2 linked regions of the Oryzias latipes genome follow. The protein of the gene in region 2 interacts with the protein of the main gene of each other region in a biochemical or structural test. Links are inferred from orthologs where the notes say so. Each region holds a gene or a part of one and is shown on either strand. Other genes may lie near its edges. The genes, in order: rps19bp1 and sirt1.

Region 1 (4,367 bases), on a different chromosome or scaffold from region 2:
CGGAAGATATCTGTCCATCGATACACTGTGGGTTAGGAAGAGGGATAAAGCAGACAGGGAGCAGTGTGCCAGTGTGCCGTGCACGTGGGGGTGGAGATACATGCACGCTGTCAAAGTGAACCATGTGATCGTTAGGGGAACCAGATCCTCCCCGGCGGCACCAGGAGGCATAGGCGAGCCCAGCGTCAGGACCCCCAGGTCACAGGAGAGGCGTGCTCCACCGGGTGACAGCTATTGGGGCCACCGGGCGCTTGACACCGAGACGTGGGCAAAGCCAGGACACAGAGGGCCGAGGAGCCGCCCACCACCCAGTCGGAGCCTCGTCACCGCAGGTCAGCCCCGGCTGACCTGCGGTGACTTTAAAGACACCGTCTTTAAAGACAGAGGGTCTTTAAAGACAAAAGTAACAAAAAATGGCAATAATTAAAGCGTCCATCTCTGACACTGTTACAGATTTGTTTTTCTTACCTTCAAAGTATCTGAATCTGTGGGTTTACTGATAGTTTCCATGAAGTACTTGAGATTGGCGCTCAGGTTGCTCTTTCCCTGCTTCTTCCTGAACTCTTCTGCATGCAATCACAGAGGAAGACATTTGAAACAACAACATTATTTTCTCATCACACTGTCAATAACTCCATATTCAGTTATTGAGCGGTTTCTTTCTGCAATTAATTCATTTTTAAGCCAATAGCTGAATATTGAAAAGTTTAATTAATGCAGGTTACTGAATGTTTTACTCCTTGTTTTCAAGGAAAGTAAATTCCCTGAAACATAAAATGCCCTTATGCTTAATTTTACACTATTAACTTTAAATGTCAAATAAATGTTGCTCTTTACAGTTTATTTATAAAAATGTGATTACATGCAGCATCTGCTTTTGAAAACGGTCTGGGAAAAGCTAATCATTTTAAAAGTGGCTTAAAATCCCTCAACAGAGCAAAAACAAGTACATCATAAAATACAAACAAAAGAAAGACGGAACAAGGCAAACAAGAAGAACAAGTGGATTTTTAAACTTAGATTGAAAAGTAGAAAATGAATCAATGTTCTGGATGGAAGGAAATTTGGGAGTTTCTTCAAGCTGCTGAGGCAGACGGAGGGCACAGCGAATGGAGGTGAAGGAGCAGGAGGAGGTTGAAATGAAGAGGGGATTTGAAAAAGAGTGGAGGACCACAAGACCACAAACGACTTTTAAGCATTCTTTGAGCAACTTGCAGTCAATGAAGCTGAAGTAGGATGAGGGTGATATGGTGAAAATGATTAATTCTGAACTAGTTAGGGTACTGTGGGGGGCCTTTTGAGGAAAAGGAGGCAATTCCAAAACAAAAACTAAGTAACCAGATTGTGGTCAGTGATGGATGCAGTGTGGGAACTGGGGCGATGTAAGTTCAAATCAGCAGATATTACAAAGGCAGAGTTGTGATTAATGTAAAGAAGTTTGAAATGAAGCATAATTTTATGTCAGATAAGGAATTGGTCAAATTAAATTGTGGAAAAGTTAAATTTGATCTCCTAGACACAAAAAATTAACTGACCAATAGCTGATTTGATCCTCTTGTCCTTGACTGTAGCTTTGCTCTTCCCAGGACCAAGGCGGCCCTGCAGTCTTTTAACCTGCCTGCTGACTCCCTGTCTATTGCTGCTGATCTGCTCCATCACTGCGGCCGAGCTGGGGGTCTTCTTCTTTTTCTTTATCTGGCTGTCATCTGCTAAAATGCAAGCGAGAACAGCACAAATACACACCTTTAGACACAGTGCTTGCTGGGTGACAGTATATTACAATTATATTTGAATTCTACCTTATTTGTTTATTAAATAAATGTTCTCTCTGCAGATGGTGTCATTTTTAAAAGATGTTTATTTCCTTTAACATTCCAGCATGTCAAAAAAGATGACACAAAATCTCATTTAAGGTTAGAGTCAAAAATACCCTGTTGTTACTCAAAGTTAAATATGAATTTGATTTTTACATTATTTACTATGAGGATGTATTTTGGCAGCTCTTTGACGTTTAGGGGGAAAGTGTACATCACAACTTATTATATATTTTTATTCACATAATACAGTAAATATATTGACACAAGATTAAAAAAAAGTACAGATACATTTCTTCACTTCTTAGGATTTAATGAAATTAAACACATTTGTTAATTCAGGTTTTTATTTATTGTTTTTGAACTAGAACCCTAGCAAAAGTAGTCTATTTATGTCTGAATTTATTTCCAGGTATGAAAAAAAGATGTGGTTTCTTTTCTTGTTTTATTTATTCATGTTTTTTTTTCTGCTTTATGTAGACTATAAATGAAGGTAAGTTTGGAGCAGAGGTGCTTTTTATTGCATCAAGGCATCTAGGGGTTAGGTGCACAACAAATATACTCAGTTTATACTAAAAGTCAGGCGGTATACTTGAAGTTGACTTTTTATATATCTATATATTGTTAACCTTGCGTTGGTTTACTTGGTCTACAACTACATGGTGGTAATATTTTTACTATACTCAAGTAAAATAAACTTCAAGTGTTTATTATAAGAGAAAATATATTATAAAAAAGCTACTGCAGTTTTTTGTTTTAAAAATCATACAAATAAACCTTGACACGTATTCAGTTACAGAACTTTGTATATAAGACAAATAATATTACATGATTTGTTTTGCTTTATTATTTGAATCAAAATGAAGTTAAGAAGGAATGCTAAAAGGTGGACTAGCATAAAACAAAGTGAAAATAATTTTGCCAACTTTCTACCTACTAATATAGATTTTTTAATACATTTAATCTGTATTACATTTAGCAAATTTAATTAATTAGTGCAGCTGAGTGCTTGTGCTAATGTGGTTTGCTAGCTCAACTAAAATTCTATAGCAAAAAGTCAAACCGGACCTTTGATGTCATCACTCAGCAGCTCCAGTCCTCTTCTGACCAACGACACTGACATTGCACAACAACAAAAAATCACGTTCTTAACAAATCTGCAGTATATAAATGTAATATTCTGCCTCTAACACGTGAGTAGATCAACATCCGGTCTTTGTGTGCACTGCCGGAATGAGTCCTCCGAAAACCAGACAGTGTTGCATATAGTGCCTACCAAACTACTACTAGAATAATAAACTAACAATAAAATAAAATTAAAAAATTTAATGTGAAGTTTTTTAAAAAATAAAACAAAAGAAAAACAAGTGAAGTGAAGTGTTTTATTTTTAAAACAATTCATAAATAAAAAATAAAATAATGAGTAGTACAGGGGGGTATTCCAGGAAGCAGATTATGCTAGCTCCCACGGTAAGTTTGAGGCTAAGGTCCTTTAAAATTCTCCATAAAATTTACCCTGCCAAACATTATATGATAAAATTTAAAAAAGATATTAATACTGATTGTAGTTTCTGTGGAGATCACCCAGAAACAGTAACTCATCTTTTCTGGCACTGTTTGTCCACACAGAGATTTTGGAAGGAGTTCAGTAGATTCATCATTATTCATGTCTTCAAAGATTTCTCCTTGAAATGGGAAAATGTATTACTTTGTTTTTTCAGGACCCCCAAAAAACAAATAGTATTTTTAATAATTAATTTATTAATTCTTCTGGCAAAATTCTACATACATAAATGTAAATTTACTAATAAAACACCTTACTTCCCACAATTCATTAAAGATGTAACTTTTTACATTAAATCAATATCCTTTTCCTCCAACAAAAAAGCTCTCAGAACTATTGAAATTTGTAACTCTCTGCAAATATTTAATGAATCGACTCCCCTGGCTGTTTAACATTGTTTGTGTTGTATATTGATTGTATGTTGTATACTGCATTGATTGTTCTTCATGTTGTATACTTGCATTTGTTCAATAAAGTTATAAAAAAAAAGTTTGAGGCTAAGGAAGTTGATAACCTCAGTTTTCGGTTCCAGAAATGGAGGTATGTTTCAGGGTAGGTCAAGTTACCATGGCAACTCATGCTCTGAACATAACCTGGTCCGGAGCAGGTTTAGTTGAAGCTTAGTTTGTTTACAGAGAGGTGAAGCAGCATGGCGTGTCCATTTGAAGAGGATTTAGTGGATGAAGAAGCTCAGATAATACTTTTTCCAACATGAAAGGATGATAAGACCATGTATGGATGTTGGAAAAAAAAACTTTTTTACTTTGATCTAACTTAATTATTTGCTTCAGTTAAGATAAATCATTTTTTTAGGTCACCTTAAAAATAACACGTAGTTTTTAGACAGTTATTTTGCTTTCATTCAAATTAATTCAATTAAGTAGGTGTAACTTTGGTGCTGCAGTTAGATAGGCACCGCAAGGGATTCTGGGATATAATTCCCTTTGCCTGTCTGGACGGATTTGGGTTTAAGTGTGGGTTTTTGACAT
Region 2 (4,549 bases):
CACTCACATTGGTGCCCTTTATTTAGTCACAAGGCGTTAAACGCCGGCAAATATCGCGCACGAAATTCGTCCCGGTGTGTACGGGCCTAAAAGGCTACGTTCACCCTGCAGGCTGAAACGACCCAATTCCAATTTTTTGCCCCTATGCGACCTGTATCTGATCTTTTCATGACAGTCTGAACGACACAGATCCGATTTTTTCGAATGCGACCCAAGCCAGTTTGGTATGTGGTCCTGAATCGAATACGTATCCGATCTCTTCGACCTCTGTCTGAGCGGCCAGGCCACATGAATCCGACCCGTACGTCATCGATACGCTACAAACGTCATCATTCTGCATTGAAGTAGGCAGGAACTAGATCATAAACATCAACCATGGCGAAGATGCTGCTGAGACCAGTCAGTGTTAGGGAAGTGAGGTCACCGATTGGATTCATATTTCTCTATTCAGGCCAAACTCCAGGGCTCTTACCGTAACCGGGCAGTTTTTGAAAACATTTCCAGCTAAATGGCTGAGGGTACAGACGATCCTGGCTCCTCACATCAGTATCCCACCACTCCACACGTTTCTCTGTACAGACTTGGCTAACACTGCTTCAAAAAACGCCATGGCCACAAACTTTCCTCCTTTTTAAATTTCTTTTTAAAATGAGAAGATTGTAATTATTCTGGCTCCTTTGTGAAAATAAATGTAATAAAGCAAAAATAGCTCTGCTGTTGACAACACTGTTGTTGACATCCATTGCTAACGTTAGCTACTTCCATAAACAACAGTGACGTCGGTCACCGTTGAGGACTCTTCTGCGCATGCCGGTCACTTCTGGGTCATTTCAGGGTCAAACAGGAGATCACAAAAGATCATATTTAATTGGAAATGTGAAGGACCTTCACAACGAACCATCTCTTAAGTCCAGATGACGGCCCCTAAACCCACTACTATGATGGAATCTACCTGGATGAATGAGAGGCTTCATAGACACATAGTGAAATATGTTTTTCATCTGAATTTAGTCAGAAGTGTGAGTTAAATCATTTAAATGTCACAAACATTTTGGGGGCTTTAGTTTAGTAAACTTGGGCCGGACCAGAGAAGGAAGAGACAAAAAAAACCTTCCAACCTTAGCAAACTTGAAAAACGGTCTGGGGTCTCGTCGGAAGTATTCGATGTCGAACATCGACTGCGGATCGGGAAGGTCGGGAAAGTCGACAGCAAGCCGAGCGTAAATCCCATCTCTGGAGCGAAAGTCGGGAATTCCACAGGAAACTGAAACCTGCGAAGCAAACCGGTGTTTACCGTTTCTTTACCCAACATGAAGGCAGAAAAAGCCCTTCTGGGGACTGAAACACCTACACCTGCACCGGTCAGAACCATGATCCTCTTGCTCTCATGAAGCAGTCTGACCACGTCCTCCACAGTGTTCACGTCTTTTCTCTTCTTCCTTTTGGGAGGTTCTGAGATGTTGATGATGATCTGCCACAGGGTCATGTCGTCCAGATCGGGTGGGAGTATGGTCTCGGGCAGCAGGTCCCGCAGAATGGCCCTGGGGTCCGTCTCTCTGATGTGCTGATGGATCAGACTGTAGGAACCTGCACACGCACACACCTGAGCTCACAACGGCTTTGCAGGGAGACGCGGAAAATACATTCCTGCCTCATTCTGACCGATCTGGGGCTGCGGAGTCCAGTCGCTGGAACTAGCATGAGAGGATCCGTCATCGTCGTCGTTAAGGTGTTCTGGTGTGACGGCGAGACCGTTGGAGGGAAGATCGTCAGCCCCGAGGAAGCCTGAAGAGGGCAAAACCGGCAGGTCAAAGGCCGAACGCCGAGACCTCTGCCGCCACACGACGCGGACCGTATTCATGCTTCAGGAAAGGATGACTAAAATGCAGCTGAAGGAGCTGCTCTGATTGGAGCCACCTCAACTTAATAGAACTTCAATCATATAAAGGGAATTCATTGATTCCTGGTTAATTTCTTAATTTTAATATAAAGGAAAATTCCTGATTTCTGTTTTCTATTTCCATGTTATAAATAAACCAATAACTGATGGATCTTAAGATTCATTAATGACACCTAAATCTATTCTATTGAGATTAATAACTTTAATTAGAAATTCATCATTTCTAATGTTTGGATAAATGTGGAGCTTTTATTTCATAATTAATTATCTTTACATAAGAAAATCCGGGAAATTACCTTAAATTAAATCCCGGAGTTCAGTTTTTGACTGAACTCGATTGATGGATTTTTAAACCTCTATTTTCCAGTTGGGTTAAACGGTTTAGTTCCGCCAAAGTTTGGACTTTTAGGTCAACACGAGTCACGTGGTCAAAGTCGGCGAAGTTCTCGAACAGGAACGAGAACTTCGCCGAGCATCGGTTTGTTTCCTGCCGCTTCCGGTTCCTTTCATCTTCGGTACGTCGGGCTAACAACCAGCCGTTCCGAGCGATGAAAACACGGAGCCCTTCGTCAGGGAACCAGAAGTACTCACCCGTTCTCCCCTCAGCAGAACCAAAGCCGAAGCTCAGCCTCTCGGCTGGGTTCGGCGGCTCGCATCCCAGCAGTCCCAGCCCATTGTTGTCTCCGCCCGCTGCGGCCTGCTCCCCCGCCATCGCCGGCTTCGCCTCCCTCTCGGCCCGCTGCTCGCAATTCACCGCCGCCTCCCGGCTCTCCGTGGCCGGGGAGACGTAGGAAAACGGCTCCGCCTCGATGGATCTGAAGACGCGGTCGTCCGGTGGAGTGATTTTCGATCTCTTAGCGGCGGGTTCGTCCGCAACGCAGGCTCCAGAGAAGGCCGCTCGGTGGCTGCTCTCGTCGTCCGCCATCTTCAGCCCGCAGGAGCCGCCGAGCAGACAGCTGGCTCATTTGCATAACGCGCGTGATGACGTCTACCATAACAAATGACTGATGCCTTCATGAACGGTCGGACAAAAGAAAGACATTAAAACATATGCAAAAATAATAATAAGGAAAAAATAAATAACGAAGGTGAAAACACCTCATTTAAAGATTATCAGCAGCATTAACTATCGAAGTAAATATGTCTAATAAATAAGATTGAGTTCAGTATCAGACAAAGAATTTACAAGTGACCAGAAAGTTATCTGCTAGCAATGGTTATTTTTCAAAGCAGACGTCACACTAACTAATAATTAGTTATAAAAATAAAAGCCATCTTTAAAAAAAAGCTCTGATATAAAATTGCATGCATGAACATTATTATTACCATTATTGCATATTACGTTAAACGTATTAAAAGTAAACCGAGTGTTAAGGTTTTCTGCTTGTTAAAGGTTTTTATGCTTATTTAAAATTAGACTTTCACTATGAACTTGGTAAATCAAACACTAAATCACAACCACGAAAACAGTTGCACACTGAATTTTTAAGCAAACATTCTCAGTAAAGTTATTTTTTATTGCTGTAAAAAGTATTAGATTTTTTTAGTTTAAAGCGTTTTCTTCCTCTGTTGACGGATTTGGAGAATTCCAGCATAAAAAGGCAGAAACTGAATCAAATGTATTTAAATCAAGAACTTCTCTATCAGCATTCTGAAAACATATCAAAATATAAACGCTATAATTACAATATATACTTACACATTGAGTTTATTTTTTTGAGGTTTAGTATTAACTGGAATGACCCAAAACGGGAGTGTTTCCTCCCATGACAAAGGAGGGTCCTCGAACGCAACCCACGTCACATGTTGGTGAGAAAGTGAGAGCTTGTTCGGTTCTTTTAAACTCAGCTGATTTATCAGCAGAATCCCAGTCCAACCAGAACCAAGAACCTCAGCGGCATCCCAGGAAGAGGGAGTTGGTCCATCGACCTTCCTGGATCAGAACCGCAGAGATCCGGTCCGGTAAAAGAAGAGCCATGGATTCCCTTCTGCGCAGTAAACCGGAGGACCGGGAGGATTTTTACGGAGTGCTGGGGTGCGACGAGCTGTCGTCCGTAAGTTCTGATGACGTCATTCCTGCCCGAGCTGCAGGAAAAGGAAAACATGTTTGTCGACCATTAACAACCTGCAGGTTGATCATCGTGAGAAAAGAGACCACGTGACGCACGAAGAGATGCTGCACGCGCTCTGTGCTCTGTGGCGTCAGAACCGAATCCCGGACCACAGGTGGTTGAAGCCGATGACGTGACCACCGAAAATCTGATTATCATCCTCTGATTTATTCAGTCAGACTATTGAAGTGATCATGTTAACAGGATAATCCGATTGCCAAACTGGTTTACATGCCCTCAAAACCCAGAGAAATGGGAGTAATCAGATCCTCGAAAGTAATCAGATTACAGTTGCAAAAATGAAAACCACATTTTTAATTTTATTCTGAAAGTCCTGGCTGAGGTGTTTCCGTCTCATATCAGATTTATTCCAGTCTGTCTGCACGAAAGACTCAAACTTTCAGTCCTCTTGATGGTTTATGGATCAGATCAGCTCCTTAGGATCAATTATTTGATAGTCAGTTTTGTATGATCACTCGGTTAATTGAATATAAAGGTCAGACTTTTAGCATTTCAACAGGACAGATAAGTGGTATAG

The links.
Region 1: the proteins of sirt1 (region 2) and rps19bp1 form a complex in vitro, tested with the Homo sapiens proteins (2 studies listed by BioGRID and IntAct). The link is inferred for Oryzias latipes from reciprocal best matches to the Homo sapiens genes SIRT1 and RPS19BP1.

The regions. Positions count from the first base shown.
Region 1 is NC_019859.2:24,671,559-24,675,925, forward strand, and holds the start of rps19bp1 (active regulator of SIRT1), read right to left. Parts: upstream 3,053-4,367; 5' UTR 2,938-3,052; coding exon 2,883-2,937; intron 1,710-2,882; coding exon 1,536-1,709; intron 567-1,535; coding exon 469-566; intron 1-468. UniProt on the Homo sapiens protein: Part of the small subunit (SSU) processome, first precursor of the small eukaryotic ribosomal subunit.
Region 2 is NC_019873.2:29,790,503-29,795,051, reverse strand, and holds the start of sirt1 (NAD-dependent protein deacetylase sirtuin-1), read right to left. Parts: upstream 2,861-4,549; 5' UTR 2,826-2,860; coding exon 2,492-2,825; intron 1,786-2,491; coding exon 1,663-1,785; intron 1,588-1,662; coding exon 1,352-1,587; intron 1,272-1,351; coding exon 1,119-1,271; intron 1-1,118. Other genes in the region: dnajc12 (dnaJ homolog subfamily C member 12), read left to right, coding at 3,667-3,954. UniProt on the Homo sapiens protein: NAD-dependent protein deacetylase that links transcriptional regulation directly to intracellular energetics and participates in the coordination of several separated cellular functions such as cell cycle, response to DNA damage, metabolism, apoptosis and autophagy.